Linked DNA regions of Rhinolophus ferrumequinum. The protein of the gene in region 3 interacts with the protein of the main gene of each other region in a pairwise test. Links are inferred from orthologs where the notes say so. Each region holds a gene or a part of one and is shown on either strand. Other genes may lie near its edges.

Region 1 (9,852 bases), on a different chromosome or scaffold from region 3:
AAACTTACATCACAATAGACACAACAATAAACAATAGATGCCCAAAATTGGAGAAAATGTGAGAAAAACCTAATTTTTTTCTTCAATAAATTGGGACTAAGGAAAGACTTCTTATTTATGGCATATAAAATGTCTCAGTCTTGCAAGCACACCTAGTGTTCCACAGGGGCATAGACTGTGAACCACAGGAACTGCTTGGCCTTCTAACTTGGAAGGAAAAACTCAAACAGGGCTAACAGCAAAGCTAGCTGTTTCTAGATGCACAGTTAACAAGGTGCTCCTATCAACAATTTCTGTGGTGTATATGGTATATTTTAGGGCTGTACAATTTGTTCGCAGTGAAGTAACTGGCAATACAAATATTTTATGTAAAATATTCCTATATTTTTAAATGGTTATCACCATTCTTTATGAAGATTATTTTTAAAATCCATCTTAGTCAGTTTTTCCACTATGAGAACACACCTCTGACATAAGGAGCTGTTTCGGACTTAGAAAAAATGGAATTATATATATATTTTAGTTCCCCATTAGAGAAATGAGAATACTTGTGTTTATAAACAACATGGATATGGTACTAGGTGAACTGAACCTATTATCTTGATCTAAGCCTTTGGCCAAAGAACACAAGAAGGTAAAGTGTTACCAGGGTCTTCTGCAAACCCCAAAATAAAGAACAAAAAAGCCATACACAACACAGGCCAATCTGGTCTTTAAAAAAAACCCAAAAAACCCTAAAAACATTTATGATCCAACCTCCACTTACCCTCCTCAAACACTTAGATCTTACTTAATGACATTAACCTCGGCCAGGGGTACACTCTTCTGCATTTAAGAGCCTCTTGCCCATACATTCAAAAGACGAAGGATTCTTCCTCTTTCCTCAAATGATGAGATTCTGTCGGATCCCAGAAGCCAAACCTACTCCTGGCCCCACACAAAATATGAGGAGCCTGTGACTAGCTGATTTGGGCTTTAAAGGAATCATTTTGGAACTTCCCATTTGCCTTAAGGATGATGCTGTTCTTCAAAAACACTTTTTAGCTGCTCTTAAGTATCTCGTCAAAATCTACAGCATTTTTACCCACAAAAGCCTTCAGTTTAAAAGTCAAAGAGAATCAATCTCTTAAGAACCTACTCCTGCTCTCAGTCTCCCTGTGAATCTCTAGGGCAGCCTGTCTTTCTCCCCCACGATATTGGCTGGCTCCAGTTAACACTTTCAAGGCCAGTACAATAGGCACCACAGAGGTCAGGAGAGAAGGGGTAAGCTCTCAAGTGCTGTTCACACTGCTTCTCCAGGTCCTGGCATACTGTTGGTACTCAAATATTTAATAAACCAGTGGATTGCTGTAGACCAGTGCTGACCAGTACAATAGCCACTAGTCAATTATGGCTTTTGAGCACGTGAAATGTGGATAGTGCAACTGTCAAACCGACCTTTTAATTTAATGTTAATTAACTAGCCTGTGTTTGGCAAGAGGGTAAGGCCTAAGTTGATTACTTGAAAAATTAACACTTGCACAAAAATGCATACTTTTCAAAGAGCAATATATTAGTCATCTCATATATGAAAAATTCCATATAGTGGGATCACCAGCCCAGTTGTACTTCCCAGAGAAAGCAACACTGATCCTTACCGAGTAAGTACTTTAATAGTACTTTAGTTACTGCACAAAGAATTCAAATTCTCGATTTGAAAATACTTGGAAGACCCAAGTGTGTAGTACTTTTCTTTTTCGGAAATTCTGGCTAAATGTAATTACTCCACATTCTACTGATTTATAACTACTCAGTAATAACGCAAACGTCTGAAATTAACAACGTCTCAAAAAACGAGAAGAGAACTCGTCGAGTTTTACAGTGCGAAGAGGTTTAACCCTTCAATATACTAGCACGTGGCCGACACAAAATGTCTGACTGATGAACGGAAGGGACGAGCTGGGTCCCACCTCAACTTTAAAACCCCAGGGATTAGTAGAGACGCCCACGCCTTCAGCTCCCTCAGGGATGCTCGGGGTGGCCACGTGGTGCTGCGCCCCGAACCTCATTTGTGGTGACCTGAGGGATTCAAAACCTCGTGCACACCAGGAAAATCCTGGTTGATGAATTTCCACAAGTTGGTAACTTGTTACCCACAGCTACCTGACTGCACGAAACGCGCCCGTTGCGGGACTGGGGCGGGGTGGGAGGGCTTCCCCAGTGCTCCCCCACGGCTAGAGCCCGCCACTCACCCGAGGAGGGGGTCTGGCAGATGGGCGGCCTCCCCACGCGGGGGCCGGGTACCGTGGCCCTGCACCCGGCCGCGGGAAGCCGCTCTAGTCCGCGGGGTGGAGAAGAGGCGATTTTTAAAGGCTTGCCCGCAGCTCACGCCGCCGCGGCCAGCAAGTGCCGGCCTGGGTCAGCCTCATTCGTGCACTTGTGGGGGGCCGAGGCCGCCGAGGCCCGCCCGCACCCCCGGCTCCTGGCCCGGGCGGAGCCGGCCGCCGGCATTGCCCTTTTAAGAAGGGGGAGGAGGACAGCAGAGCTCCAGAGCGGAGATGAGTCGGCGGCGGCGAAGCGCGCAGCTCCCGCCAGTGCGAGCCGAGCTCCGGAGAGGCGAGCAGAACACAAGCCGCGAGCTCGGCTCGGGGAGCGGCAGCCCGCAGCCACCGCCGGGGGCGGACGGGCGGGCTGGGCCGAGCCCGCAGGCCAGCTCCCGCGGCGGAGGGAGACGGGTGCCCGCCAACATGGCGCTGTGTCGGCCTGTGGCGCGCCCCGGCTGGCGCGTGGAGCCGCTGCCCGCCCACACCGAGGGGCCAACCTCCCGGGCAGGGGCCCCGGGCTGCGCCGCCGCGGCGCGGGGGGAGGGCGAAGCCGCCGCCACCGTCACAACGGCTGGCCTGGGCCGACCAGGGCCCGCCCTTGAAGGCCGGGAGTGAGGAAGGCCCGGAGGGCAAAAGGGAAGGGAGAGAAATGGGGACAGAAAGTTTTATTTTTAGGCTTGAAAAATGGCGGGAACCGCGTCCTTTTTTCAAACTTGGCCTGACGAGGGGCGGCGGTTGCGCCACCTCCGCGGCCCGGCCTCGCCCCTCCCCCGCTCCGCGCGCGCCAGGCCGCGCCCGCCCGAAGCCCCCGGTCACCCGAGGGGGCTTCTAGCCCCCCCTTCCGAGGCAGAAAGCCCACTCCTCGCCCTACAGTTCCTGCCCTCGGTCGGGCCGGCGCCAACCGCAAGAGCAGGCCACGGGAGACCCCTTCCCGCCTGAGCCCCTTGCCCCGCCGGCCCGGGGCGCGCGAAGCCCGGCCTGGCCCGCAGCGGGCCCAGCCCCGGCTGGCCGCGCGGCTCCTCCGCAGGCCGGGTCCCCGCTCGGCCGCGCATCCCGGGAGGCTGCAAACATGGCTCCCAGCGTTACACAACCCCCTTGTCCCTCCCTCGCCGTCTGCCACACACACGCGCGCTGCTCCGGGAAGGACCCAGGTGGGCGAGGAGCTCAAAGTTTGTTTTCCCCCACCCCACCGCCTTCCTCGGACGGCCGCGGGGGCCCGCGGGCGCCAAAGAGTTAATCCCCGCGCGCTCGCTCCCCCCTCCGCGCCCGCCTGCCCGCCTTCCCGGTCCGAGCCCGCGAGTTGCGCCCTTCCCCGCGCCGGGGCTGGCGAACCCGCACCCGGGGCCCCGCAGGTGGCCACCATTACATGCAAGTCATCGGAGAGAGAGGACGCCCGAAGGGGGGCTCTGCTTACCGCTGCCGGGGTCCGGTTCCTCAGCTCCAGGTGGATCCTCCTCTTCATGTCCATGTTTCCCTCTTCCCCCCTCTTCAAACTTAACTTTCCGCGGCAGGGGCGGAGGGGGGAGAGGCGGCCCGGCCTGCGCTGCGAGGGCCGTCGGAAGGGGTCTACTGGCGGCAGAGGCCGGCGGCGCGGTCCTGGGCGGCGGGCGGCGGGCGGGCAGGCGAGTGGAGCCCCCGGAGCCAAGTTACTCACGGGAGCCGAGAGAAACCATGGAGGGAAAAGGGGGCTGGAGCGTAACGCTGGTCTCACTACCGCCGCCCCCGGCCGCGGCCCCGCACTGCGCTTAAACCGGCGACGCGGCGCAGGCGGCTGCTCAGCACCACACGGCCCGGAGCGGCGCCGCTCGACTCGGTGGCTGAGGATGAACCAAGGACGGGGCGGGGAGACGCGGCGGGAGGGGCAGAGGCTGGAGGGAAAGGCGCTGCCTGGGGGACCCGAGCGACTTCCACCCCTCCCTCCGGTTGCACGTGGGGTGGCTGATGTAAGATCTTCCTCGGGGGCTTCCCCGCCCGCCGCCGTGCTGAGACCACCGCCCCCCGGACCCCACCTCGCTGCGCCCAGACGCGGGTCTGTGGCCCGCGCTCGCACGTTTGCGTGGAGGGCTCGGGTGGAGGCTTTACAGTCCTGCTTCGGGGGTCCGTAAGACCAAGTCGGTCCGCTGAGACTCGACCAAGCCAGCCCGACGCCTGCAAAGGCGGGAGACGTGAAGGAGCGCGGGACGCGGAGCTTGCGGGTTAACCTTCTGCTCCCCTACACGGTGTGGATCAGCAGCCCGAATCCTTCCGTATCCTTCGCCCCGTGATAGTTGGAAGGGCTGCAAGGACCCCAGTCGAGAGCGGAATCGTGGCCGGCCGGTGTTGTACCACGTGGCACCAGGAGGAGTTGGCCTTCGCGGCCGGCGGGGTCTGGGGCAGCCCGGCAGCCAGCCCAAGCCACAGAGTAGCCGAGCGTCCCCAAGTTCGGGAGAATCTCCCTGGGTTTCTAACATTTAAATGTAGGCTAGCAAGGCAGCAATTAGCATTTCTAATGGGGCCTCCGTGTTTTACAGTTTCCCCGCAGACTTTTATCCCATTATTCCTTAGTGGACCCCTGTGAGGTGTGTAAATTCTAGATGGTCTCGGTTTTGCTGAAGCTTGGCAGGTAGCCTTTGTAATAGTCTGGCTCAAGAGAGCACCCTGAGAACCAGGGTTAGAGCACTATGTTTTCTTTGCGGACCTCTGGGGAGTAACGTATGGTTATATTCAATTTAAAATAAGTAAATACGTCATGTGTCTAATCCGATACCATCTTAATTCTAAAATAGACAAGAGGCTCCAAAGATTGGGAACAACTTACGAATAGAGAAAAACACAATGCTATTAGTTAACCAAAGATTTTATTAAAGTTAAGAAAGACCCCCCTCCCATTTTACCTGTGGCAAACAAAGCCACTTATATCAATTTTTAAAATATGGGATGAATTAAAATTTCAAAGCAAAAGCAAGTTTTAGAAGGACTTTGGAAAAGGGCAAAAACTTTCATTTGTTGTTTCCTGAGTCTAGTATTAAAATGTTAGTCTCAGCAGATATCTCCGTGATGGGAAAATGGTGAGGGAGTACTCTTCAGGATGTCACGCGAGGTCTGTAATTATTAGGTTATGAGAACCACAGGGCCATGAGATGAAGAGTTTTACAGAAAACTAGCAAATCAGTTCCATGAGCTAACAAGATTGGGCATCCACTTTTAGCCCTTGATATGCTCTTTCTCATTTAATCCAAAGACAACCCTGTGAAGTAGATTGTATTTTAATCATTTTACAGAGGAGGAACTGAAGCTCAGGAACCCTAAGCTGCATGGCCAACAAGAGGTGGATCTAGGATTCAAACCCAGATAGGTCTGACTCCAAAGCCTGCCATCTTTACTGCTACACTATCAGTCTAACTGCAATGAAGTCGTAGCATGGGGATCTGATTTGGAACATTTGCAGAGGACCTTTAATACCAAACAACATGCAGGTACCCTCTTGCAGGTAAAGGGGAGATGCTGAAGGAGACTGGAATGTGGTAGCTCTGTGCTAGAGAGAGGTAACCTGGTGACTCGCGAGGGAGGTGGTTCTGGTCCTTAGGGAGAAACTAGACAAATCTTGGGACCCTGTCCTCTATGACAACTCAAGGGTATGAAGGACTCTTTCCTCACAAGATAAATGTGTGCTTTATAAAATTAAACTACAAAGTAATTAATAAACATAGCCACAATGTACAGCAAGTAAAAAGAAAGCAAAAGAGCCAAAGGAGGAGAGACTACAGACCCGGTACTGTCCCTTCTGACACAGCCGGTGCTGGCATGCACCTCTGTGAACAAAGAGCATGTGTTCCAGTGACATGCTTCTTTGTCAGGGGCTTCACTGCCAGAGGCATAAATAACACAGGCAGAACAGGGTGTGTCTCACTGGCCTGCCAACATCTTCCACTGGACTGTCAGTTTACAGGCCTGAAGGGGCTGTTGTCACAGTGCCCTGGTTTTGACTACTGCTATACTTAACATCATTCTGAGTATGCATCTGGGTGTAAGAAAAGTAGAATATATCATTGTACCTAATCCACAATTATTATCATGTTTATGGATTTATGGATTTGAACAAGGGCTAGAAAGAAACAAGGAAAAGTGAAAACAGCCTATTAGTTTGTTAGGGAGCCTGAACTATGTATGGGTGAATCTTTTTTTGCTTCCATTGATATTAATGTTTGCCTAATAAGTAATAAAAATATCAAATGATGTCTGGTTTCGGCACCCCTTTGAGTCTTAAAATTGCCTGTTTGTTAGAATGTGTGTGTAATTCCAGTAAGCTCCAAATTGTTTGAGGAGAACACTCTAAGCTAGTTTGTAACTCTTTGGACTTACTCTCCACTCCACTGCCTTAGCTCTCGCAGGCCATTCATCAAACTGTCAGATGCCCCCAAGCCTTCCACTCATTTTTTGGTTGGGAACAAACTTTAATAAATCTGAAGATAAGAGGAACCAGCCCCACTCAGGCATTGGTTTAACTGGCTTTGAAACCAATTTGGCAGAATGGTACCCTTTTTCTTTAGTAAAGACAGTATACGAAGATGATGCCTAATATAGGGTGAGGAAATCATTATTCTTTAAATGCTATAATTTCCATCCTTTTCCTCCTCTCCCATACACATGTGCATACAATGGTAACTGTTTCCTCTGAGTTTCCACAACATGGAGTGTGTACCCTTTATAGCAGTTAGGCAACACATAAGAGTTGTGGAAGGATCTAAAATTTCAACTAGACTGTGAGTTCATACAAGTATTTCTGGATGATATAAATGGAGCGTAGGAGCCTGGGACATCTTTAGAACATAGGTGCTCGGCAAATGTGTTATGCTGAAAATAGTGTCGCCTGTACTCAATACTATTTGGCAGCTGAGACTTGAGACAAAGGAAGAGGAGAGGCAAATAGTTAGATGAAAATGGGTTAAGGAATGAGATCCTATAAGTCTCCACATGGTAAAAACAGAGGAGGGGGCAGTATCAGGTGTGTAGACAGCTGCAGGTCAAGTAAGGGGTCCTTGCCAAGGGAACCAGATTCCTTTCTGCTCTCTGAAACAGCTGTAGGTGCTGGGCCTTCCTGGGGCAGCAAGGAAGAGCTATGACTACCAAGAGCCAGGTTTAATATTTATTAAGCACCATCCTTATGCCAAGTACTGTGCTTGGGACTTTCGTGTATATTGCATTTCAGTTAATCCTGGCAACAGCTCACTGGGACAAGACTATAATCCCTTTTTATTGTTTAGGAAACAGACTTGGAGAAGCCAAGTGGAACTCACATAGCTAGTAAGAATCTGGATTTCTTTGCCATGTAATTCATTCTTATTACTTTGATCTACTAGTCCTCACAACTGCTTCTGAAAAACCTGTTTTTATTTTCTCCGCTTTAAGAAGATTTACATGCTCATTGTGAGGGGGAAAGAAAAAAAGCACAGAAAAATAACATTTAAAAATTAAATTCCTACCGTTGAGATATACCTATCAGCTTTTTTTTCCCTATAGTATACATTTTTTTTAAAAAAATACTGGGATCAGATTGAATTTTTGAAACTTGTGTTTTCCACCTATCATTACAATAAATGAGTTAATATGATAAATATGAGTATTAACTTTGCTAAATATTTTTCCCTTTTTAGAGAAGGACTCTAGTGATGTGGGAATCCTGTTCTGTTCCATCACTTATTGGCTGTGTGCTTTTGGACAAACCACCTAATCTCTCTGAACCTCAGGCTGCTCATCTGAGGCCTGTTGTGAGGATTAGGCATGATCACATGGGTGAATTCCTGCCTGGTACAGTGCCTGGCACTCTCCTCTGTGCCCCTGCCACAGTCACTGCCCCAGTCTCTCCCTTACCCTAAGCAGAGGCCCAGAACTTTCTGGCCTCCTCAGGGGCTGGAGAAGTTCTGCTGTGGCCATCAGTCCTCCATCTCTGCTCCATGTCCTTCATTTCATGTAGTTACCCTAACCGTTTGGCTGAGGAAGGGGCTCACCCCAAACCAACATAAGTTTTGACTTTCAAAAGGAGTGGATTCCTTTTCTGTTTCACACAGTCCTTAGGCTCTCTTCAGGGACTGGGAACATGCTCCTGAGCCAGACTGGAAAAGATCTGAGTAGCCCCACAGTGGTGGGTATGTAGCTCCGCCATAATTAGCCAGCATTCTAACCATCTGGACTCTCTCCTACCTCACAGGGATTTCCTTGTCCACACAGAACTAAGACTGATCCAAGAGTCCTGCTCTTGCTGACTGAACTTTTCCCATCTGTTCTCCAACTTGCTTTGCCAGCTCAGGTCCAGACATGGGCCCCTAGGTGGCCATGCAAGGTAGTCGTTCCTCACTCGAGACTCTGACACTCCTGAGGTGGAATATGCGTTCCCTAATTTGCTAGTTTCTTATTTTGGCAAAGGCCAAAAGTCCCAAATACCCTTACGTTATACTTCTTGAAAAGCAGGGCAGGAGTGCCCTCCTAGTTGCTAGATGGGATGCTGCCCAATTCATGAATCACTCAATAAAGCCAATTAGATCTTTTAAAAAGGAAGGAAAAAGGAAAGCAGGGCAGCCAGGTTCCTGATTTCTTTTTATGTTTATCTATGCATATACTATAGAAAATCTGGAAACTATACTTAACAAAGAGAAGAAAATAAAAATCTAAATTCAGGGCTAAGCACACACTGATCACGTTTTGGTGTCTATTCTTCCAGTCTTTTCTGTACACACATATGGCACTTTCTCAAGTCTCAGATTGCCAGAAGCATCATCTCATTAATAACAGCTTTTCAGGGAGGCAGCGAGGGGGGAACCCACTACATTAAGTATTCATATCGATTATGAGGCATCTTTATTTCAGAAATAGTAAGTAGAAAAAAAAAACCTTTCAAGTACCTAGGAAATACTATATATGATATTTAAAAAATTTTTTGAAAGTGGGATGATACTGTAACTTGCTTTTTTCAGTTAACAATATATTATTAATATAGTTCCATGCTATTAAATAGTCTTCTATAGAATCCTTGAAGACATTATTCTACAAATGAAAATAGCTTTTCTTTTTCTGAATATAAAAACAATACATATTCATGTAGCAAATTCATGCAATGCAAAAAAAAAGTATAAAGAAGAAAATGAAAGCCAGCCCAAATCTCATTACCTAGCAGCAACCGCTGTTAATCATTTTGTGAATATTTTCTGAGCTATCTCTATGAAGATGCATATGTAAAATATATAATATTTTATAAATGTAATCATACTATATAACGGTGCTTTGTAACATGCTTTTATTTTTCACGTAGCAGTAAGTCACAAGGATTCCTCCAAGACAACAAATATAAGTCTACTTCATCATTTTAAAAGTCTGCATCATATTTCACTGTATGGATGTAGCATAATTTGTTCACCTGGTCTCCTACTGATAAACATTTAGGTTATTCAAGTTCACCATTATATATAACACTTTTGTACAGTTAGCTCCTAGAAATAAATTCCTAGAAGTATAATTCCCAAATCAGTATATATTTTTCAAATTTGGATATGCATGGCAAATTGCACTTCAGAGG
Region 2 (10,341 bases), on a different chromosome or scaffold from region 3:
GTCTTCATGAGGAACCCCAAAGCGAACTTAAATTTAGAGGCACTAGGAAATCACTCCCAGGGAACCCCCTTTTTACCTCTTCTGCTTCGTCTTCCTGATCCCAGTTCCTATCTGTCAATTCCTTCTCGGCAATTCTTTTGGCCATTTTTTCGAACCTAAAAGTAAAAAGGTTAGACGTAAAAAGTTTGCTTTTCTAGCCCAAGACATCACTCTTACACTCACTCGAACATGAAACGAAACAACAACATTCCTGACACCAGTGGGAAGGGCTTGAACGGGAACTGTGTAGTTAGGCTCCCTGTGTTTCGAATCCAACAAAGGAGGCAGCGAGGTCTTCTAGGGAACACTGGCACTTTCCGAACAACACTAAACCAACTTTATTTGGACAAAATTAAGGACACCTCAATCGATTTGTTTAAAATCTGAAATCGTCAGTACTGCTTACAGGATCACGTGCTTAACTTATTCTATGCAAATGACACTTACAATCTTGCTACAGACAAAACATTTTTAGTAATTAAAATTATCTTAAAGATGATCCAACAAAGAAGTTCATTCTTAGGAAAGAATTTTAATAAGGCATTGGTAATACTTTCATAGCGTGAACACCCTTCTTTAGGCTACAGACAGTTGATAGAAATACATTTCCGAAGACTGAACAGTTAATTACCCCAAATTGTATATTGCTAAGGTAGGACATAATTTAAAAATTCAAATGTAATTAATATTGATATGTTAACATTCCGAGAATCTATAACCCTTCAAAAATAACCCATGAGCTCAACTCCTCGAACACCACTACGTTACAGGGAAAGGGGGGCGGGGGGCGGGCTGACAGTATTATCTCTGCAGTAATATAAGTACCTATCCAAAGAGGGTGCTTGCATCTGTCCCTTAAAATTTGTAGTTTGCTTTCTTATCCTAACATCATAGCCTTTTGCTATAAAAAACATAAAAACAATCAATGGCGAGCGTGCGCCACTGTGAGTGCTGGGCCGACTTCCTCCCTAACTGACCAGTTACATGGACAAAAACCCTCTAATTCCTCTGCCACCCACCTTGCCCAGGAATTTACCCCTTAGTTCAGGGCTCCTGAAACCTGCCTAGACGCCTTTCTGATACTTGCTCTGTCCCCCTTTCCTTCTACACCACAACCCACCAGAAAAGTTTCTGAAACTTCACAGTCATTAAGATACAAACTTATATTTCACCTACTACTTTTTAGTATCTACAAAATTCAAATGCTGACTTCCAAAGCCCTCCAAAATCTAACCCCCTGTAATTACATAGGAGTTTTTCAGCTTTTAATGATATCCTAATAATCTTTGAATCCTCTTTTATAATGTCTCTCCCCAAACATCGGGTCAAGCTTTGCTATTACTCTTTGTAATCCAAACAAAAACAATGTACTTTTAGACATTATTCCTTACTGAACTTTTACTGTTCAGAGGCCAGATGCTTTCTTTTGGCCATTTTCCTGTTCAGTAACTAACACTTCCACCAGAGGGCAGAAGAGGAGAGAAGTTGAAACAGTCATTTTTGCTATTAAGGTTAACTATTAACTGGTAACTTAATAACTTAAGTTATTAACTGGCAAAAAGGGGTGGAGCTAAAAGGGCAAAACCTGTAATAAAGTAAAACTTTAACCTCTAGCTCATACCCACAACTGAAGAGATAATTGGCATAGCAAAACATCCTACATTAATGTAGCTTGCTCCCAGATTCGACCATATTCATCAGTAACTAACCAGAGGGCAGTGATCTGTTTTGTTTACTGATGCGGACTCCAAATGCCCAAACCTGCCCTTCTCCGGGCAAGTTCTAGCTGTTGTCCACTCAGTGATCTGGGACACTACATATTTAAGAAAATACCGTTTGGCATCCCAGTTTTCCCATTTTATTGCTGGAAACCTTGGGCAAGTTAATTTTTGTGCCTCAGTTTCTTCATCTGTAGAACGGGGAGGTGTGAAAGTTAAATGAGATAAACAAAAAACTTAGTTTAGAATAGTGCCTGAAACAGAAAAAGGGCTTAATAAATATTAAAGAAACAATTGTTGTTAGAAGGAGAGGCTATAAAATACTCTATTTTCTCCAAAACATAAAAGTTATAGTGTGGAAAAAGAGAATTTACTTAAATTATGAGTCGGGCTTTAAAATATTTTAACAACTCCGTATTTTACTTCAAAGCATGACACTTCAGACAATAAATTTTCTTTTTATGAAAGAAGAGGGAAAAAAATCGCTGTAAGTACTTGGAATAAGCCCTGGCACCTAGACAGTCTTATGTGACAGCTATTATTATAAGGTACTTAAAAAGTTTGGGCTTGTGGTTTAAAAGGTACCGAGTTATTAAATGATTCCTTGTGACAGCAAATTGAAACTTCTGGTAATTGGAAAAACTTTTATTATTTGTGCCTATTACACAGAGGGTGCCAAAAAAATGTACACACATTTTAAGAAAGGAAAACTGTATTAAAATTGTAATACTTGATATATACTAATAACAAAAACTGAATACAAGTCACGTTTGACTTCTGCAATGACAGTAGGTGCTCAAAGTGGTTACCATCAGTGTCCAGACACTTCTGATTACGGAAAACTACTGCTTGAGCAACGCTGACCAAAGTGCCCAATTGGATACATTTTTCTGGCACCCCAAGTAGTTTTGTGGTCTCTACCACTTGGTGCTGCCCAGCTCCAGGGGTTGAACTTCAGTAGACATTAGTTTATCCTAAGATGAAAACAGATTTGACCGTACTTGATAGTGTAGTGTCCCGGGGAAAAAGAGAACAAGGGGGCGGACCCCGAGACTGAAACGCCAGGGGAAAAGAAATCGCTTCTTAAAGGAACAGAGTAATGGGGTGATCGATGGCCTGGGATTGCGGTAAGAAAGTGAAGCCAGGCCAAAGCAGTGGGGGGGGAGGAGAAGAGCGGTGAGACGGCCAAGGGGAAGGAAGTACCGAGAGGAACCGCTAGGAAGTAAACCAGATGGCCTCGGGTATTCGCTCCGGCCTCCCGCCTCCACCCGGGCCGCAGAGGCCCGGCACCCCGGCGAGCGTGAGCCAGTCCGCAGCCCAGACAGGTCAGCCCCGAGCCGGGCTTCATAAACAGCCCCGACTGCGTGGCGGCTGTCATCCCGCCCCACCCTCCCGGGATCCCCCAACCGTCCCGCGTACCCCGCCCGGCGCCCGCTCCCCAGGCCCGGGCTCTTCATTCTGGCTCTTCCTTCCCAGACTCCTCTTTCCAGGCCCGGGTCCCGTACCCTGATCGGCCTCCTCCTCCCCTGGCCGGGACTCCGCACCCCAGGTCCTCTTTCACAGGGTCCCCATTCCAGGCCCGAGTCCCGTACCCAGACCCCGGCGCCCCCTCCCCAGGCCCGAGCCCCACGCCCCAGCTCCCCCTTCCCATGACCCCCTTTCCAGGCCGGGTCCCGGACCCGGACCCCGGTTCCTCCCCCCCAGGCCCGGGCCCTACACCCGGCTGCCGCCCGGTCGTCCCGACACCCGGGCTCGGGCGCTCGGCCCCATCCCCTCCCATGTTGCCCATCCGCGTCTCACCTCCGGGGCGGCCGCCGCAGTACTCGCTGGGTGGTGGGCGCGGCGAAGCGTGGGTGCGCGGCGATGAGCAGGTGCGAGGACGAGGCCGCGTCGCTCGAGTCTCAAGCGGCTGCGGGTCGCCGGCTGAGCGCGCCTGGCCGCTTCCGGAGCGCCGAGATTCTCGAAGGACTCGGGGATCAGTAAGCGCAGAGTCCCAAACAGCATGTCCCCTGGGGGCCTGGTCTCTGTGTTCGGCAGCGAGGAGGAGACTTGTCCGCTCAGCCGGAGCCTGCCGGGGGAACAGCGCCGCACACACTCCAGGCCGCCATTTTGTAACTCTAACCTAACCCTCAAACCCAATTCGAAAAAAAGGGAGGAAAGAAACGCCCGCGTCCGCCTACTGCGCAGGCGCGCCGGGGCCTCAGGCCGCGCACCATCTTCCTCAGGCGGGGGGGAGGGGCGCCGCGCGGCGCATGCGCCTCGCTACTGGGAAACCGTCGCTGGGAGGAGCGGCCCCGTCTCACGCCTGCGCGCGCCGGCCGCAGTTTACGCGCGTTGGTCACGTGCCGGCTGCCGTGCGCGTTTGAGGCGCTCGCGCGCGGTTGGCCGCTGCGGGGCGGACGCGCGGGGCTTTGCGGGGCGCTCAGGAGGGTGAGGTCAGTCAGCGAGCTTGGCCGAGGCTCGCGGTGTTCCGTGGGGGTGCTGCAGGGCCGAGCAGGGACAGGCCGCGGCCCGGAAAACGTGAGTGACACGGGGACAGCGTCACGTCGGGAGCGCGGTGCCGCCATCGTGTCCTCGGCAGCCCTGCCCCGAGCGCCCGCCGCATACCTGGCTGCGGAGCGGTCGGAAGGCCCGGGACTGCGGAGCCCGGAGGGATGGCCTCGGGGGAGGAGGAGAACAAACGGACCCATCCGCCTTCCAGCTCGCGTCTGTTCTCCGCGGTGACACCTTAGAGGCGAAATAACTTGCCCGAAATGGCGCCACTGTGTAGGGTCGGCGAAGGCGAAGTCTGCAGACACGTTTTTAAACTGTGGAACTACTACGTGTGTCCAGCGTCAGGATTTGTGTTCTTGTGCTTTTGTTTTGTATCTTACAATGGAGCATTTCGCACAGTAGGTTACGCTGTATCCAGCAACTCCGTTTTGTCCGAGTCTTCTTGCCTAACGGTTGAGAATATTAACCAGTAGACACTATGGGAATGAGACCCATTTATTAACCAATAGAAAAGTTGCTAAAGAAAAGGAACATTCTTAATTCGTAGAGCACTGCTTCTTAACATTTGGCAGAAGGGTGTTTATGGATGTACTTGAAAACGCAAAGAAAGTTTGCGCATACATGCCTATAGGAAACCAGTTTGCATATAATTTCAGGGTGTTTATGAACCCCCCCTAAAATGCTATCCAGGGACCCCCGTGCTAAGGATTCCCTATCTACAGACTAGATTGAATGTGTAAGGGTTTAGAAAAGGGTGGCCCCCCGCTCTGGACATTTAAGATAAAGTCAGATTTATTCCCTGCCATATGTTTAATTCCCCTAAGACAAGAAATCCAAAATATAGATGTTGCCAGGTGTTTCTTTTTCTGAGACGGATGTGAAAAGAAATACCCCGCCAGGGAACTGTATTGGGTGCTGTGTGTCTTTCACACCGTTGGTGATTGGATGGAATATTGTGAACCGTTCGTGTAACTAGTCAGAGAATATTGACTAATGGTGTATTGCAAAAACAGAGGTCTTTAGTGGCATGCTTGTCAGTGTTTTTGTTTTCATCAGCAAAAAGAGAACTTAGAACACAGACCCTTCGGAATGCTACGTAGCTGGCCAGAGCTATCCCACTGGTTAGTGGCAGAGCTGAGGCCGGGTCTCAATCCAGCCCAGCACCTCTTTCCATTTACCCTTTCAACATTGAATGCCCACAGCTGGGGACTCCACAGATTTTTGGTGCTGAGCTGCAAGTGGCCCTTTGTCCCTTCCAGCTGTGTTGGGTCAGCCTTTCCATACTCCACCAGTGACTACTCTACATCCTTACCACTTAAACCTTTCTAGCCATCTTTCAACCCCATTCGGCCTCCCAACCCCCAGCATCACCATCCTTAGTACATAATAGGTACTCAACTACCAAATGAACGAACCCTTCTTTTCTTCAAGAGAGAGAAACATTATCCCAGACGTTTCTGAGTTCTCCTCTGACTAATAGTTTGTGAATCTTTGTATTTGGTTCTGTCTGTGTGAAGCTCGTTCATCCCAAACTGTTTTCTTGTTCTCCATTCTCCAAATACCACGTCTATGTGCTGTAATGTTAATTATTAACTATCCTGCACCCGCCAGTGTAAAAGAAGTCTGGGTTTTCTATTTTGGCTTTTTATCCAATCCCAGAAATCCCACCCCTCCCTTTGCTTTCTCCCGCCCCCTTAATCTACCATCAATGGATTTCATGTAACCTTTGAGTCTCCTTTTATTCTAATTAATAAAATAAGCTGCAGAACTGCCATTCTCCAATGGAGCATTTTTCCAATCCGTTGAGATTCTGCTTCCCAGCAATTGTCCTCAGTTTGGCTCAAATAAACTCACAAAAATTCTCTACAGGTTTGGACGTTTCCTCGACAATATGTAGGATGTTTCCATATAAGGGACACAGCTTAGGTAGTGATAGACTTTGTTCTATTCACGTTTCTTATGTAGAAATGTGGCCAGTTAAAATCACAACTTTTATTCTTGCAGTAACAATATCTTGTAAAGCTAAGCAAAACAACACATTTACTTCTTAATTACATATTGTAGCATGAGGTAATTGATGCCTTTCTGATGCAAATAAAAAAGATTTATGCACATAGTACCACTTTAGCTGCCTTGCACGTGACCTGGTGGATTTCAGTGCTTCCTAAAGTGACAGCTTTTAAACAGGCTCTAACTCAGATGAATGAAGGCAGTTTGCATGCAGACCTCGACCTCCATTGAATTTGACTACTGCCATTTGGTGAGGCCCTTTGTCCCAGATTATATGAAATAGTTCCCCAAAGATAATAGCCGTTTTTTTCTGAAATCTACCTCCAGAACTCCCTTTCAATTTGCTTAACCCCCGAGGATTTTTATGTTTGCCAGCCTGGGTCAGTTTCATCTTTATGTTCAGTGAATAGATATCCAGACATACTGGTTTACCTACTTTATCTAGTTCAAGACAAGTTCGTGGCCATGTAACCTTGCATTCCTTTCTGCCACTGGAGTTCTATGGCAGAAACCAGTGTCATCTTTGCCACTGTGATCAAGTCATAAATGTCTCAGATAATTCAAGCCTGGTTTACCCTAGTAAAGAAAATTGCAAGATAAAAATTGTTGGATTCTAGCTGAGTTCTGGCTGAAGCTTGAATCTTGAGATTGGAATCATTCTCTACTTGGACTTAGCAGAAAACATCCAACAATAGGAAACCTACAGGACCACACTATGCTCCTAATTTAAGGAATTGAAACAGGAAGTGTTCTGTCATCAGCCCAGCGCAGGGGCTGCAGGCCTGGAGTGGCACTGCTGACGTTCCCAGCTAATAGAGCTTGGCACCTCTTTTGTGTCTGGAGTGACCTCTTTGAATCGGAAATGATTTATTGACCAATATCTGTGCCCTATCCTAGAGTATCTTTTACCTAAAAAAAAGGAAAAAAGGTCAGGACAAATGGGCAGATAGCATGCAGTGCTGAAAAGAATGTCATGTGTTACCACTTTTCTCTTCCCAGTCTTCAGTTCTCCATGAATTTGGCTTTGAATACTGATCAAATGACCTCCACAGTCAAGAGAAGTTACATACTAAGGCAATGGAATGAAGAATTTGGGATCATTATTACCAGAATTCCATGGATTTCTTCGAGAGTTGTGCCACAGAAATTCAAGAGTTCTTGGAAGATTCACATTTCCCCAGACCTGGTCTGAGAGATGGAAGTCCCGCAATGATGCACGTACCACAGGCGCCCACCGAGAGCCTTGTTTCCTCCCAGGATTCTTCTTGCCTAAGCTCGAACCTAGAAGAAAATCTTCCTCCTCTGGTTGTTGGGGAGCCAAAGCTTATCCAAACTGCGTGAGGGAAGGGAGCGGAATAAGCTAGGGTAATGCAGTGATTAGGACCGTGAGCTTTCGAGTTCATTGCCCTGCGTTTGGTTCTTGATTGGCCGCTTACCAGATGGGCCTTGGACAAGCTGTTCAACTCTTTGAGCTCAGTTTCCTCATCTGTAAGCTGAGGATTAAGTGAGAACATGGATGTAAAGCACACAGTAAATGCCCACGTGATTAAGACAATCGCTGTTTTCAAGTTCCTTGGAGCTCCAACCCCCCCAACACTACGAAAAATTTTTAATTAGTTTTTCCCTAACAGGATTCTTTTAAAGATTTTATTTGTTTTAAAAGCTTTATTTATGAAATTATAGTTCAGTTGCCCTTTACTAATTAAAAACGTAACTGACATTCAGAGGTTTTTACTCTATAACCAGCTCCAGTAATTGTATTGAGTTCTTACAAGTCTCGCCAGGAGCAAGAATCCGTGATGTTATAGCTGGAGCAGTTTTATCATGAGTTACAGTTGTGATTTCCAGTCGGCTTTTTAAAATGTCGCCAGAGGCCAGGGACTCCCCTGTTCTTCATCATAGATTCTAGATTAGATCTTTCTCAATCGCATCGCATTTGGCTTCATAACAAAAAATTAATTATTAAACTGGAATTCAGCTGTATTCTCTCGAGACTTTGAACAATGACTGATTTTGTCCTAGAGACTCCAATCTGTTGGTCACTCAGAATATTTCACAACTTGTATAATAGTTTTCGTATGTCAGGCTTCAGTGCAAAAGGATTAAAACTAATGGATACATTTTCTAGAGCTGTTCATTTATTTTCCTTCCAGGGTTTACAGCCACTAAAAAGGTAATACGTAATATGTTTTTAAAAAACTGTTCAAGATACTATAAATTATATAAAGTAGCACATTATATCTTTTTTCTGGGAACAAAATTAACTGGTAAGAATGAAATAATAGATAAAACTGTCGAGACATCATGGGCAAATACTGTCAGTTCCAAGGAGGAAGAACTTAACCACAAACAGAGGTGATCAAGAAGTAAGTATTCACAGCATTGGGGCTAAAAGACCGCCAAGGATGAATGGCTTTTGTGTAAATGGAGAGGAAGGGTGGGAGGGAGCGATGGGACGTGTGAACAGAGGACATAGAGGTAGGAAGTAATTAAGGTGTCTGGGTCTTGGAGAAGAAGGTGTAGAGACCACATGAAAGAAAGCAGGTTTACCACGTCCGTGAAGAGATCCAGCTTGTTCATCCTGCCGCTCCCCTCAATGTCTAAAGCCTTTGGAGCGTGGCGCTTGTCTCCTTGGTTGCTCCTACCTACAAGTGTGTCGCAGTTTCCGAGGGCTGCGGAGTGCCCGTGCTTTTTAGATACTGTTGAGTATAGTGACTGGTGTTCCTTTAAGGGCTCGGGATTAATGCGATGGGAACTTGGTATTTGTGAGATTGGCCCTAAACCAGCCCACAGTCTTCCTGCGCCGGCCTCTGGCATCACTTCTCCATGGTGACCTGCTTGCTGCTTTACCCTCTGGCCCTTCGTTGGCTTCCTTCTGTGTCTGGCCCGCTCTTATTCTTAGCCTTCTCTCTGCCTGTCCACTCCTTTCCGGCCACCTCAGGACCTCCTGCCACATACTTTTGTCTCCAGGGTCGTAGCTTTAATGGACCCTTTTGGCAAGGAAAAGGAGGGAAGTAGGAGGTGGGTACACATTTAGCAAAGTGCAGATGCCCGTGATGATGTGATGTGACTGCCATCTGATCTTAGGTTGTATTAATAATATTTAGAGCCAGGGAGGCGGTCTCTTCCTGCTGTGACCAGTTGAGACCACACTTGGAGTAGGCACGAGGAGAGGCAGCACAGAGAGAGAAATTGGGAATACAGGGCTCTGGAGGCAAGCTGCCTGCATTTCACTTCCTAGCTTTGTGACCTGGAGCAAGATGGTACTTCTCTGTTGAGTTGGGGGGCCTGCAGCTGGTGTATTACGCTCATATGCAGATTAGAATGAGGGGCACAAGCTCCCTTAGCATCTGAGCTCCCGCTTTGCGGAAGTGAAAAACCTGGGCTGCTTCTGATTGAAGGCATAGTTTCAGTACAGCCACACAGGACAAGTAGAGTCACAGATTTATTACTCTAGATGCCATACATGGGGGTGGGGGTGCAGTGAGCCCGGGGAAGGGCAGCCCGCCCTCTCAGCTCACTAGCGAGCAGGAGATAGAGAGCAGGGTCGCAGGTGCTTAGTACGTAGAAGGTGGTTGGGCGGAGGTCACTAACTTTCCAATGGCTCAGCTCCACGTGGTTATTTTTAAAGGCTACCCGGGGGCTGACCCGGTGGCTTAGCGGGTTAGAGCTCCGTGCTCCTAACTCCCAACGCTGCCGGTTCGATTCCAGGACCGCCTGGAGTTCCCGGGTGCGGGGGGCCGGGGGGGTTTCAGTGTTAGGGTTCTCTGCTTTCTGGGGGTCTTAAAAATGTGATAATAGGTTTAGTACAGTTTAACACAATTAGGGACATTACAAAGGATGCAGAATGAACAAGACATGCTTCCTATTTAGAGGATTCAGACTCCAGACGGGGATGCAGTCACGTGTGCTAGGTGCCAGTAGACATGCTCAGGGTGTGTGTGGAGGAGCGCACGCTCCAGCAAATGTCGTACTTCACAAGATGTATCCATAGTCACACACCTGACGAGTCCTCAGAGTTTAATTAAAAGGTATATTTTTCTCTTGGTTGAGATTTTATCAACTTAGTGTATTAATTCTC
Region 3 (9,812 bases):
TTGCAAAACACTTCTCTGATAAAGGACTTGTATCCAAAAGCATATAAATTACTCTTAAAATCCAATAGTAAGAAAAAGACACAATCCTAAATGTGCATGCATCAACAGAGCCTCAAAAAATACATGAAATAAAACCTGATAAAGATGAAAGGAAAAATAGACAAATATGCAATTACAATTGGGGACTTCAACCCCCTTTTCAAAAACTGGTAGAACTGCTACACAGAAAATTACCAAGATCTGAACACAATCAAAAAACATCATCTAACTGATAAATATAGAACACCCAACACCACCAGAATACATTTGGTTGCCCCAAGTATTCATGGAACTTGTACTAAGGTAGATCACACACCATTATCTTGGGCCATAAAACAAGTTTCAATAAATTTTAAAGAACTGAAATAATAGGAGTGTGTTTTCTAATCATAATAGAATCAAACTAGAACACAATAAAGGAAAATCAGTCTGAGACAGTCCACTGGGTTGGTGGTAAGTAAAAGAACACCCTCTGGAAATTGGACTGAGTGTATTTCTCCCTAGAAAACTACTCTCAATGTAGCTGAACATTTACTATTAAGTATCTGCCTCAAAATTCTCTTAAACTGAGGACTACTGTTACTTGTTATATAAAAGTGGAACAACTTTACCTTCTAATGGAGTGTCTAAAGATTGGCATGCTTTGTTTTCACGTGAGTTTCCATGTCTTGATTACAATCTTCTATTTTTCCACAGAATGGACAATCGGGAGGACTATACATTGTTTCATAAATTGATCCTTTTATTTTGGATAAGTCACACTGTTTTTCCTTACTTTTCAGGAATTTTCTAGACTCAGTTAAGTTCTCCGAGTAAAAGGCTTTGTGGTTTAAAGTACCATCCTTAGGCAGGCTTTGAGCTGAAATTTTCGGATGATTAGATGCACCAGCTGAATGAATACTTGAATTAATTTCCATTCTACACTGTAGGGTGTTGTCCTCCCTGTTATCTGAAGTTTCATACTGTCTTGTGTTGACCCTTTCCAAGTTTCTTTCTAGTTCATTTTGTTCAAAGTGAGCAGTTTCAATATGAAAACACATTTCGTCATAATTCACACCTGACAACTTGCAAAATGGACATATAACTTCATTTTCCATGTGAACAATTAGGAGGTGAGCCTTCATATCTGGTTCTGAGGTTACTGTTTCACCACAAATATCACAAGAAAGCATGGTACATCAGGTAGCTAGAAAAGAACACAATATTATGTTAAGTTAGAAAGAGCTGGAGAAAAAGAAAATGCATTTTATAAATGATTTGGAACAATTAAACTTATTTAAAGCTGGATTATTTAGATGAAGAAATTTTCAATGTACCTACTGTTCCTCAAATATACAAACTTATAAATTTCAACCAAAATTTCACTGCTGTATTTTAAGTTTATAGTTTCAATAAAACAAAGGTAATAATTCAAATTAAAAAAAATAATTTTTCAAATATTTCCAAAAATGTGTCCGGTCTGAGGTAGAAAAAAAGTAACATTTATAAAATTGCTCAGGTAAGAAAAATCAGGTAAGAGAAAACGAAGAGAAGTTTTATCAACTGATGTATCTAAATACACAACCTTAAAGTTAATGATAGGGAGGGTAAATAAACACATCTTAACAATAGCAGTTAACAGTTAAAGAGCTTAACACAAAGCGAAATAAGTCAGACAGAGAAAGATAAGTACCATATGATCTCACTTATTTGCGGATTCTAAAGAAAAGAATAAGTGAATGAACTAATCAGAAACAGTTTTGGAGACAAAGAGGAAAAACTGAGGGTTGCTGGATGGGCGGGAGGGGTGGGGAGTGGGGGGGAGGGTGAGGGGATTGAAGGGCAGTCGGTGACCACAGGATGGCCACGGGTTTGAAAATTAATCTGGGGAACGTAATTTGGTGGCTACCAGAGGGTAAGGGGGTTGGGGGGTGGGGGATGAGGGTGAGGGGGATCAAATGTATGGTGATGGAAGGGGAGCTGACTCTGGGTGGTGAACACACAGTGTGATTTATGGATGATGTGATACAGAATTGCACACCTGAAATCTATGTAATTTTACTAACAATTGTAACCCCAATAAATTAAAAAATAAAGAGAAAAAAAAGAGCTTAACACATATCAAACTAATTTAAGTACCATTATAATACTATACGGAGTAAACCCTAGATCAGATATGTCACAACAGGCAGAAAGTGAACCCAGTCAGGCTCCAGAGGCTGTACTCTCAACCTAAAGAATAGAAGGAGAGTGAGCAAAGTAGAAAAGAACACTGATTCCAGAGTTAAAATAACTGGGTTATAATCTGTTTCAGAATTTTAGATAAAACACATCACCTCTTTGAGCTTCCGTTTATAGAATAAGTTGTACTAAATCAGCAGTCACTTTTGAGTTTTATGGACTTAAAAGTACTGGCTACCGACAAAAAGTGATTTTGCTAAGAAATATTTTTTTAAAAAGCACCGCCACAACCTTCCTACCACAGACCATCGTTCAGCTGAGGACTATTTAAAAACAAACAGAAAAAAAAAAAGATATGGAAACTATTCTCATCATTTAAATAAATTTAGCTTTATAAGCACTCCTTACACTGTCCTTATTTTTCTCATTTTCCTTTAGAGAAGTGAAAATAGTCCGGTTTTAGAAGAAAATTTTCCCAATCCGTCAGTGTAAAGAACGTCACACCAGAGTTTCTTCTTTTCTCGTGGCTGGGCCACGGCTAGACACAGAAGGATACACTTCAACTCCCACTTTGCGTGAGCTGGAAGGAGGCGGGCGACAGGTGCTGGGATGGGCATGCAATGAGAGAGGCGGCAAGGGCCAGAATGCAGCAAAGCCGAGGCTGCCCAAAGATCCTCTCCCACGTCCCGACCCAGGACACAAAACAAGCTCAGACACTTACTGGGTCAAAGATTTGGGCCTGGGAAATGAGGGCTGGGACCGTCAGTTTCTACACGCTCGGAGCTGACAGCATCTGGCTCGCCGGAAGAGGAATACGTGAGCGGCGTTGATTACCTTTCCCGGCCTGAAAGACAAAGGCAGGCCCTCTCTTCACCCAGAGATTCAGTTAACGGAGAAAAGAACCAGCGACTTCAAAAGACTTCAGCCTCCAGTATCACATTCAAAAAAAGCTTTCCCTCTGTTCCCGGAAGGGGAGGGCTCCCAGCATGCGCCGGTCTAGGTTGTACTGCATTCTGGAAGTTGTAGTCATTTTTCCATCCTCCCATTAGGGTTCGACTCCTAATTTACTAGGAGAGACACTAGGCTCTGAGGTCTTTCTGAAAGAATTACTAGGGCTGGTCCTAGGGCATTCATTACACGAGTCCACAGTATCCACTGTATAGGGCCAGAGTAGTACTCTATTCTATTACCAATAAAGGGCTTAAAGTGCTAGCAAGTGTCACACTCTAAACTATGCTCCACAGATAGAGGACGACTAAAACAGATTCTTGCCTCAAGGTTGCAAGATCATGTGTATTAATACCTTATTTTTATGGTTCAGTCCTTATTTCATTCAACAATATTTAATGAGTGTTTATTAGAAAAGCATTCTGCTTGAAACTGGAACTGTAGCAGTAATCAAAATACACAAAATCCAGGCCATTTGAAGCTTACATTCTGGCAGAGAAATAAATAAATAAACTGATAATGATAAGTTTTCCTTCATAGTAGGAAATAAAACTGGGTTATTTATAGAAAGGACAAATGTCCTTAGCCAATGTCTTTTTGAGTAAACAATGAACAAACTTTGCACCAACAGGAGGAGGAAGAGCATTCTAGGCAGAGAAAATAATAAGAATGAAGGCCTTAAGACTGGAGCAAAAAGAACATTTTGTGATTTGAGCATAACGTTCCAGAAGTGGTTACAATGTGAGGTCATAGTTGTACACAGGTCCTTGTAGAAAACTATTGCAGTTTTTAAATAGAATGGCATGAACTGATGAGGTACAGTATATATTTTAAAAATCATTTTTGGGGTTGAGTAGTTGAGCACGACAAATTGAACATGTGCGTTTATATTCCCTGCTTCTCAAAATCTAAAATGATAGAAGAATAAAACTAATAATAAAAATACATACTAATGAGATGTTTTAAAAATTTGAAAGCTAGAAAAAGGATGGATGAGTAGTAACCAAGTTAGCTAAGAAGTCAATCAATAACTAGTCAATTCATACACCATAACTGTGGAGATGTTCAGAAAGTAAAGACCAGATACTTCTGGAAAAGATATTAAATTGGGGCCTGAAAAGAGGAATATTTCGCTGAAATTCTGAACAAGGAGCAGTTACAACCCTACCTCTAGATTTCCTCTATCATCAGGTTGCCAAGTGACTCAGCTTTCCCCCAAAGACAGAACACTACAGGTTTAGTTTATGAAGAAAATGAAACTGAGAGGCTATGAAGTTAGAAATGCACAGCTAAGGGTGGGAGTCAAAATGTTGGACTAAAAATGGGGAATAATGGAAGCTAAATTCTGAATTATGATGCCCTTAGCCATTTTCTACCATCACATTCTGATGTCTGATTTGTGCCTCCAAATCAGGAGGTTGGAGAATACTTCTCCAGAGAAAACCACTGGTCCAAGAGAATGACTTTTAGAAAACTACAGATAATGACTTTTAGAAAATCCTCCAGTGAAATAGCCTAGATCCTATTTTATCACTCTGTAAGGAGGCCAACAGTAAACAAGCCCCACTAATACACAAGCTTACAATAGGTTTCTTTAGTGTCTCACTCTTAAATACAAATGAATTCTCAAGAATCACCAGGCATTGGAGTGCAGTCTGTTGTAGGAAAGAAGAAAAATCCAAAATGATCAAAAAGGAAAAAAATGAACTCTGAAGAAACATAGATAATGAATAAAATAGAAAAAGAATACTTCAAGGAAACTGCAATTAATATCTTCAGAGAGACAAGAAAAGATATTTAATGCCTGAATCAAAAATAGGAAATAGCTCTGGGAATTAAAAAATACAGTAACAAGAACATATATATATATATATGTATATATACATACATACATATATATATGTATATATATAGTGCCAAAAAATGCATACACATTTTAAGAAAGGAAACAACTATATTAAAATTGTAATAATATGTACCGATAACAAAAGCTAAATACAAGTCATGTGTATACATTTTTTGGGCACCCCTGGTGTGTGTGTGTGTGTGTGTGTGTGTGTGTGTATGTGTGTATATATATATATATATATATATAGAGAGAGAGAGAGAGAGAGAGAGAGATAATCCCCAAAATTTTTAAAACATAGAACAAGAGATGGAAAATAGGAGCTTTTTGGGGGTAGGAATCATGTATAATTTATCTTGTACATTCTGTGCCTAGCATTGCATCTAGAAAACAGTCTGTTTTTAATATTGTTTGAACTCCAGGGTGGATTACAAGGCTATACATATTTATAATAATTTAGTTATTTACTTCATATATCAGTGACTACTTTTTTTTTTGACAAAAATCTACAGATGTTATAGAATACAAAATTTTAAATAAATGGCAAATTGAAAAACTTGAAAACAAGGAGAGCATATGGGAAGAAGTTAATGAAGCTGAAGAAGGCAAGAGCCTCTGTAAAGCTCCATGAGGTTGGGTTTTTTATCCGTTGTGTATACTGCTGTAGCTCCAATATTTAAAACAATACCTGGCACAGATTAGGCCCTCCATTAGTACTATGTTGTTGGATGGATGGATGGATGGATGGATGGATGGATGCCAAACTGATAAACGAATGAATGATCAAACAAGTGAATGATCGACTGAGAACCCTCACGGAGGACTAGGGCAGTAGGACACACTCCTGCCACAGGGACTGCGCTCAGTGAGCGTGTGCAGACGCCGGCTCCTCCTTTGGTGGGTGCGGCTGGAACGCGTCTTCTCCCCGCCCCGCTGCGGATCTGTGCAGCCTTCGCCGCCGCCACCGCGGCTGCTGCGGTTGCCTCATGCAAGGGCTTCTGGGAGCCGAACCTCGGGGTCTCGGGGAAGGGGCTCAGGTGGCCGCCATTTTGAGTTGCGAACCTGATCGCTACGCTGAACGCTAGGGGCGGAGTGGCGACCACGTTGTTACCCGGAGCAGACGCCGCAGCGGAGGACTAGAAGTCAGGGTACCGGATCGTGCCACTTTAATGGGTAAGTGGGAGTGATGCAGGCCAGGTTGGGTGACCATCGGGCTTGGTCTCTTTGGGAGCTAGGAATTCCTGGGCTGTTTGTATTTACCCCTTTCCTTGCATAGGGTTCAGGACCAGGCCATGCCGGGCGTTTTCTCAGGGTGCCCTAAGGGAGACCGCGGTGGCGGGGGCGTGGCAGGCGGACCTTTCCCTAGCGGACGCGGAGGCGCGGGGAGTACAGATCCTCTTAGACAGCCAGGCTTGGTCCTCGGAAGGAGCTTGAGGCAGCCAATATCATCCACTCGCCGCTCCTCTTCGCCTTTTCTCAGTAGTTTCTCTTCTCAAACCTTGACATTCACTCCTGGGACTCAGCGTCTGTGTTCTGCAGCTTATTAGAAGTACCATAGTGTCAAGAATAAGGCAGGTTCAGTCCCCGGGGCCTACACGTCGCACCCTCTACCTCGACCAGCGGCCCTCTTCCACTTGGATGCAGGTGCCTGGAAGGACTCAGTCCCCACGACGGCAAGCGTGGGTTAGATGCCTCTCATAGTCTGCCAACTCCTAAGACCAAAATTTAGTAGTGTTTCCTCAATAATGCGTAAGATATGAAAGGATCTGAAAGCTGTGAAATGGGATGGTGATACTGAAGAAGAATATGCCATTGGCATTTACTCGTGGGCTTTTTTTACACAGTAAAAATGTTTCTGACTTGATGTCTCCATTACAACGTTCAATGATTCATTTGCTGTAGGAAAGTGACTTATTTTCTGGGTTAACAAGAAACAATTCTATTCTTTGGATCTTTCGGTACTGTTTGTTCAGTTGTAGGGGCTGAAGTCAGCACACCTCCCCCTTTGTACCAGTCATGTAATTTTACTAATGGGCACCCAAACCCATAGAGTTGGAGGCTTACAAGCACAAGAAATTCTGGTAATAGATGTAGAAAAATTTTGCATTCCAGTTATTTGCCTATCCTCAACACAGTTTTTCAAAGAGCTGAGTAAAAAATAAGCTTATGACAGAAAAAACAATTCCTCTGTTCTGCAACCTTAAAGTATCTGAATAGCATTTCTTAAATTTAAAATAACTTGTATGAGACAGCAGCCTTAATTAAACTAAGAACAGATACTACACTTGATCTTAGCCAAAAGGTTGAGAAGAGATAACAGCAGCCTTTAAAGTACCTTCAAAGTTATTTTCCAGAGAATGAAACAATCCTATTGGGTGAAGCACCTAGAGAGATCATTTTCCTTAGACTTTATGTCTTCTTTAAAGCAACGGCAGTGAGGATGAAGATGTTTAAATAAGAGGCAAGAAATTAGTACGGTAGAAGAAAGAGGAACAAATGATATATGAGTTGTTGGCTAGATTTTAGTTCGTTAACATGTTTATATTGAAAGGTTTAATATGGTCACTAGATTAATGGTCTTAGAAGTACTGTCTAGTACGTGTGTTGAGCAGAGGCACAAGGTGATTTAATCAGACGTGGAAAGGAAAAAAATAGAATTTACATTAGTTTACCTTTAAAAGCTATTAACTTTAAAAACATTTCTGTTTCTGGATTTTATAATGGGATAGTTTATTAGGCTAGTAATACATGTGTATAAATATATAAACATTGAGAATGAATATGCAATATATAAGGGTATGTGATCAAAAAAAGTTTAGAGGCCAAGGGCCTAGATTATGCCTAATGTGTAGGTGATAAATATTTTTAAGAGGATTATTGCTGTGAACATTTCATTTTGCTCAAGTATTTTATACTTACTGAGTATAACTCAACAATGTTGAAGCTCAGTTTTATCTGTAATGAACTCTGATCTCTATTTTTCTCCTCTAAGAGATTAAGCTCTTATTAATGAGACAGAATTTTTATATATGAAATAATTAGAGAATAATGCTAAACATTGTTATTAATAAAGTTTGAGCTGTTTCTAATGATAAATATTCGTAGGTGCACACCGTATTGCTGAGTCAATTCATTATATATTTTAAAGAAGGATTTTGGTCGATTGCAAATGTACTTTAATTACTAGGATATACGTGTGTTAAGTTCAAAGGCACAAAGTACCTTTTAAATCATTCCTAAGTCCTCATTCCATTCTGTTCTACCTTTAGCTCCACCACTAATGAAATTTCTCTCACTATCTTTACCAGTGACCTAATTATCAAATCTGATGTCTCTTATAGTACTTGGTTTATTGTAGGCACTTACGTTTGCCGGGTGGATCAATGAATGCGTAAATTGAGTGGCCTGTTTGTGCTGTGGTACTATGTGAAATATTTCTTTATGTTTTGAATTCTGTTCTTTTTCATGACTCTTATTCTGTTTCTTTGTCCTTTTTCTTTTTGGTTTCCTTTGCTTTTTTCTTTTCTACTCAAATGTGAACATCTTCAAGATTTCTCCTTTGGTCATCTTTCTTTTGTAGCTCTACATGATCTTGGATGATCAATCAGGAGGACTTTTCTCCTGAATTTTGACACATATTTCAACCATCTATATGTGCCCAAAGTACTATAAATTTGACATGTTTAAAATGGACACCACTATACACCTATTAGAATGGCTCCAGTTCAGTCCTGACACTGCCAAGTGTAGACAGGATGTTGAGCAACAAGAACCATTAAACACTGATGAGAATGCAAAATGTTTGTTACTTTGCAGTTTGAAAGTTTGTTCTGAAATCTGAAGCATACACTTGCCATGTTATCTATCAATCCTTACTCCTAGATATTTACCCAAGAAAAATGAAAACTTATATTTGCACAAAAACCTGTACATGAATATTTATAACAGATTTATTCGTAACTGCCCTGAACTAAAAACAACCTAAACGTCCTTCACCTCATAAACTGTGAAATATCCATACAGTAGAATATTACTTAACAATAAGCAGGAATATAAACTATTGGTACATACCGACAATCTGAACAACTCACAGATACACTATGCAAAATGAAAGAAGCTAGTTTAAAACTATACACTGTTACTATTCCATTTATGTGACATTCAGGAAAAGGCAGAACTGTGAAGGTGGAGAACAAATCAGTGATTGCCAGGTGTTAAGGGTTGGAGGAGAGCTAATAGCCCGAGGAAGTGTTTTAGGGGTGATAGAGCTGTTCTGTATCTTGATTGTGATGTTTATATGCCCATGCATTTTCAAGTTTATAGGACCATATACTAAAATAGTGATTCCTTTACTGCATGTAAATTTAAAAAATAAAACAATTGTATTCATAATTTTTGTCTCAAAAACAAGCAGGCAAGCAAACCAAACCATCTCTCTGATCCTCCATCTATATTCCCTGTCTTGGGTTATTTTGTCATTATGCTATAGCTCAAGCTGAAAACCATGTAGTCATCAACTCCCTTTTCTTCCTCACCATACATTCCTTACATTTGTTTTGCCTGTAGTTGCATCAGTTTCTGAAATGTTTCTGGAATCAAACTGTCTTCTATATTTCCAGTGCAGCTACTAATTTAGTTCAGTTCTTCATCATCAAGATTTGAAACAACCTTCTCTTTAATTTTTCTAGTTGTATTCCTTAGTATTGAGTCCAGATTTCTCAACCAGATTACAGGCACCATATGTGTTCTTAGCTATCTTTATAGCTTTATCTTCTCCTTCTCCCATGTGTCCTCTTGTTCAGGCACACTCAGTTTCTTA

The links.
Region 1: the proteins of KPNA5 (region 3) and ANP32B interact in binary tests that used the Homo sapiens proteins (3 or more experiments, as listed by UniProt). The two-hybrid records come from large-scale screens. The link is inferred for Rhinolophus ferrumequinum from reciprocal best matches to the Homo sapiens genes KPNA5 and ANP32B.
Region 2: the proteins of KPNA5 (region 3) and NUP50 interact in binary tests that used the Homo sapiens proteins (3 or more experiments, as listed by UniProt). The two-hybrid records come from large-scale screens. The link is inferred for Rhinolophus ferrumequinum from reciprocal best matches to the Homo sapiens genes KPNA5 and NUP50.

What each region holds. Positions count from the first base shown.
Region 1 is NC_046295.1:54,414,958-54,424,809, reverse strand, and holds the start of ANP32B (acidic leucine-rich nuclear phosphoprotein 32 family member B), read right to left. Parts: upstream 4,139-9,852; 5' UTR 3,772-4,138; coding exon 3,718-3,771; intron 1-3,717. UniProt on the Homo sapiens protein: Multifunctional protein that is involved in the regulation of many processes including cell proliferation, apoptosis, cell cycle progression or transcription.
Region 2 is NC_046293.1:3,879,714-3,890,054, forward strand, and holds the start of NUP50 (nuclear pore complex protein Nup50), read right to left. Parts: upstream 3,881-10,341; 5' UTR 3,558-3,880; intron 156-3,557; 5' UTR 146-155; coding exon 77-145; intron 1-76. UniProt on the Homo sapiens protein: Component of the nuclear pore complex that has a direct role in nuclear protein import. Actively displaces NLSs from importin-alpha, and facilitates disassembly of the importin-alpha:beta-cargo complex and importin recycling.
Region 3 is NC_046286.1:67,627,571-67,637,382, forward strand, and holds the start of KPNA5 (importin subunit alpha-6), read left to right. Parts: upstream 1-5,912; 5' UTR 5,913-6,162; coding exon 6,163-6,166; intron 6,167-7,206; exon of another isoform or gene 7,207-7,308; intron 7,309-9,812. UniProt on the Homo sapiens protein: Functions in nuclear protein import as an adapter protein for nuclear receptor KPNB1. Binds specifically and directly to substrates containing either a simple or bipartite NLS motif.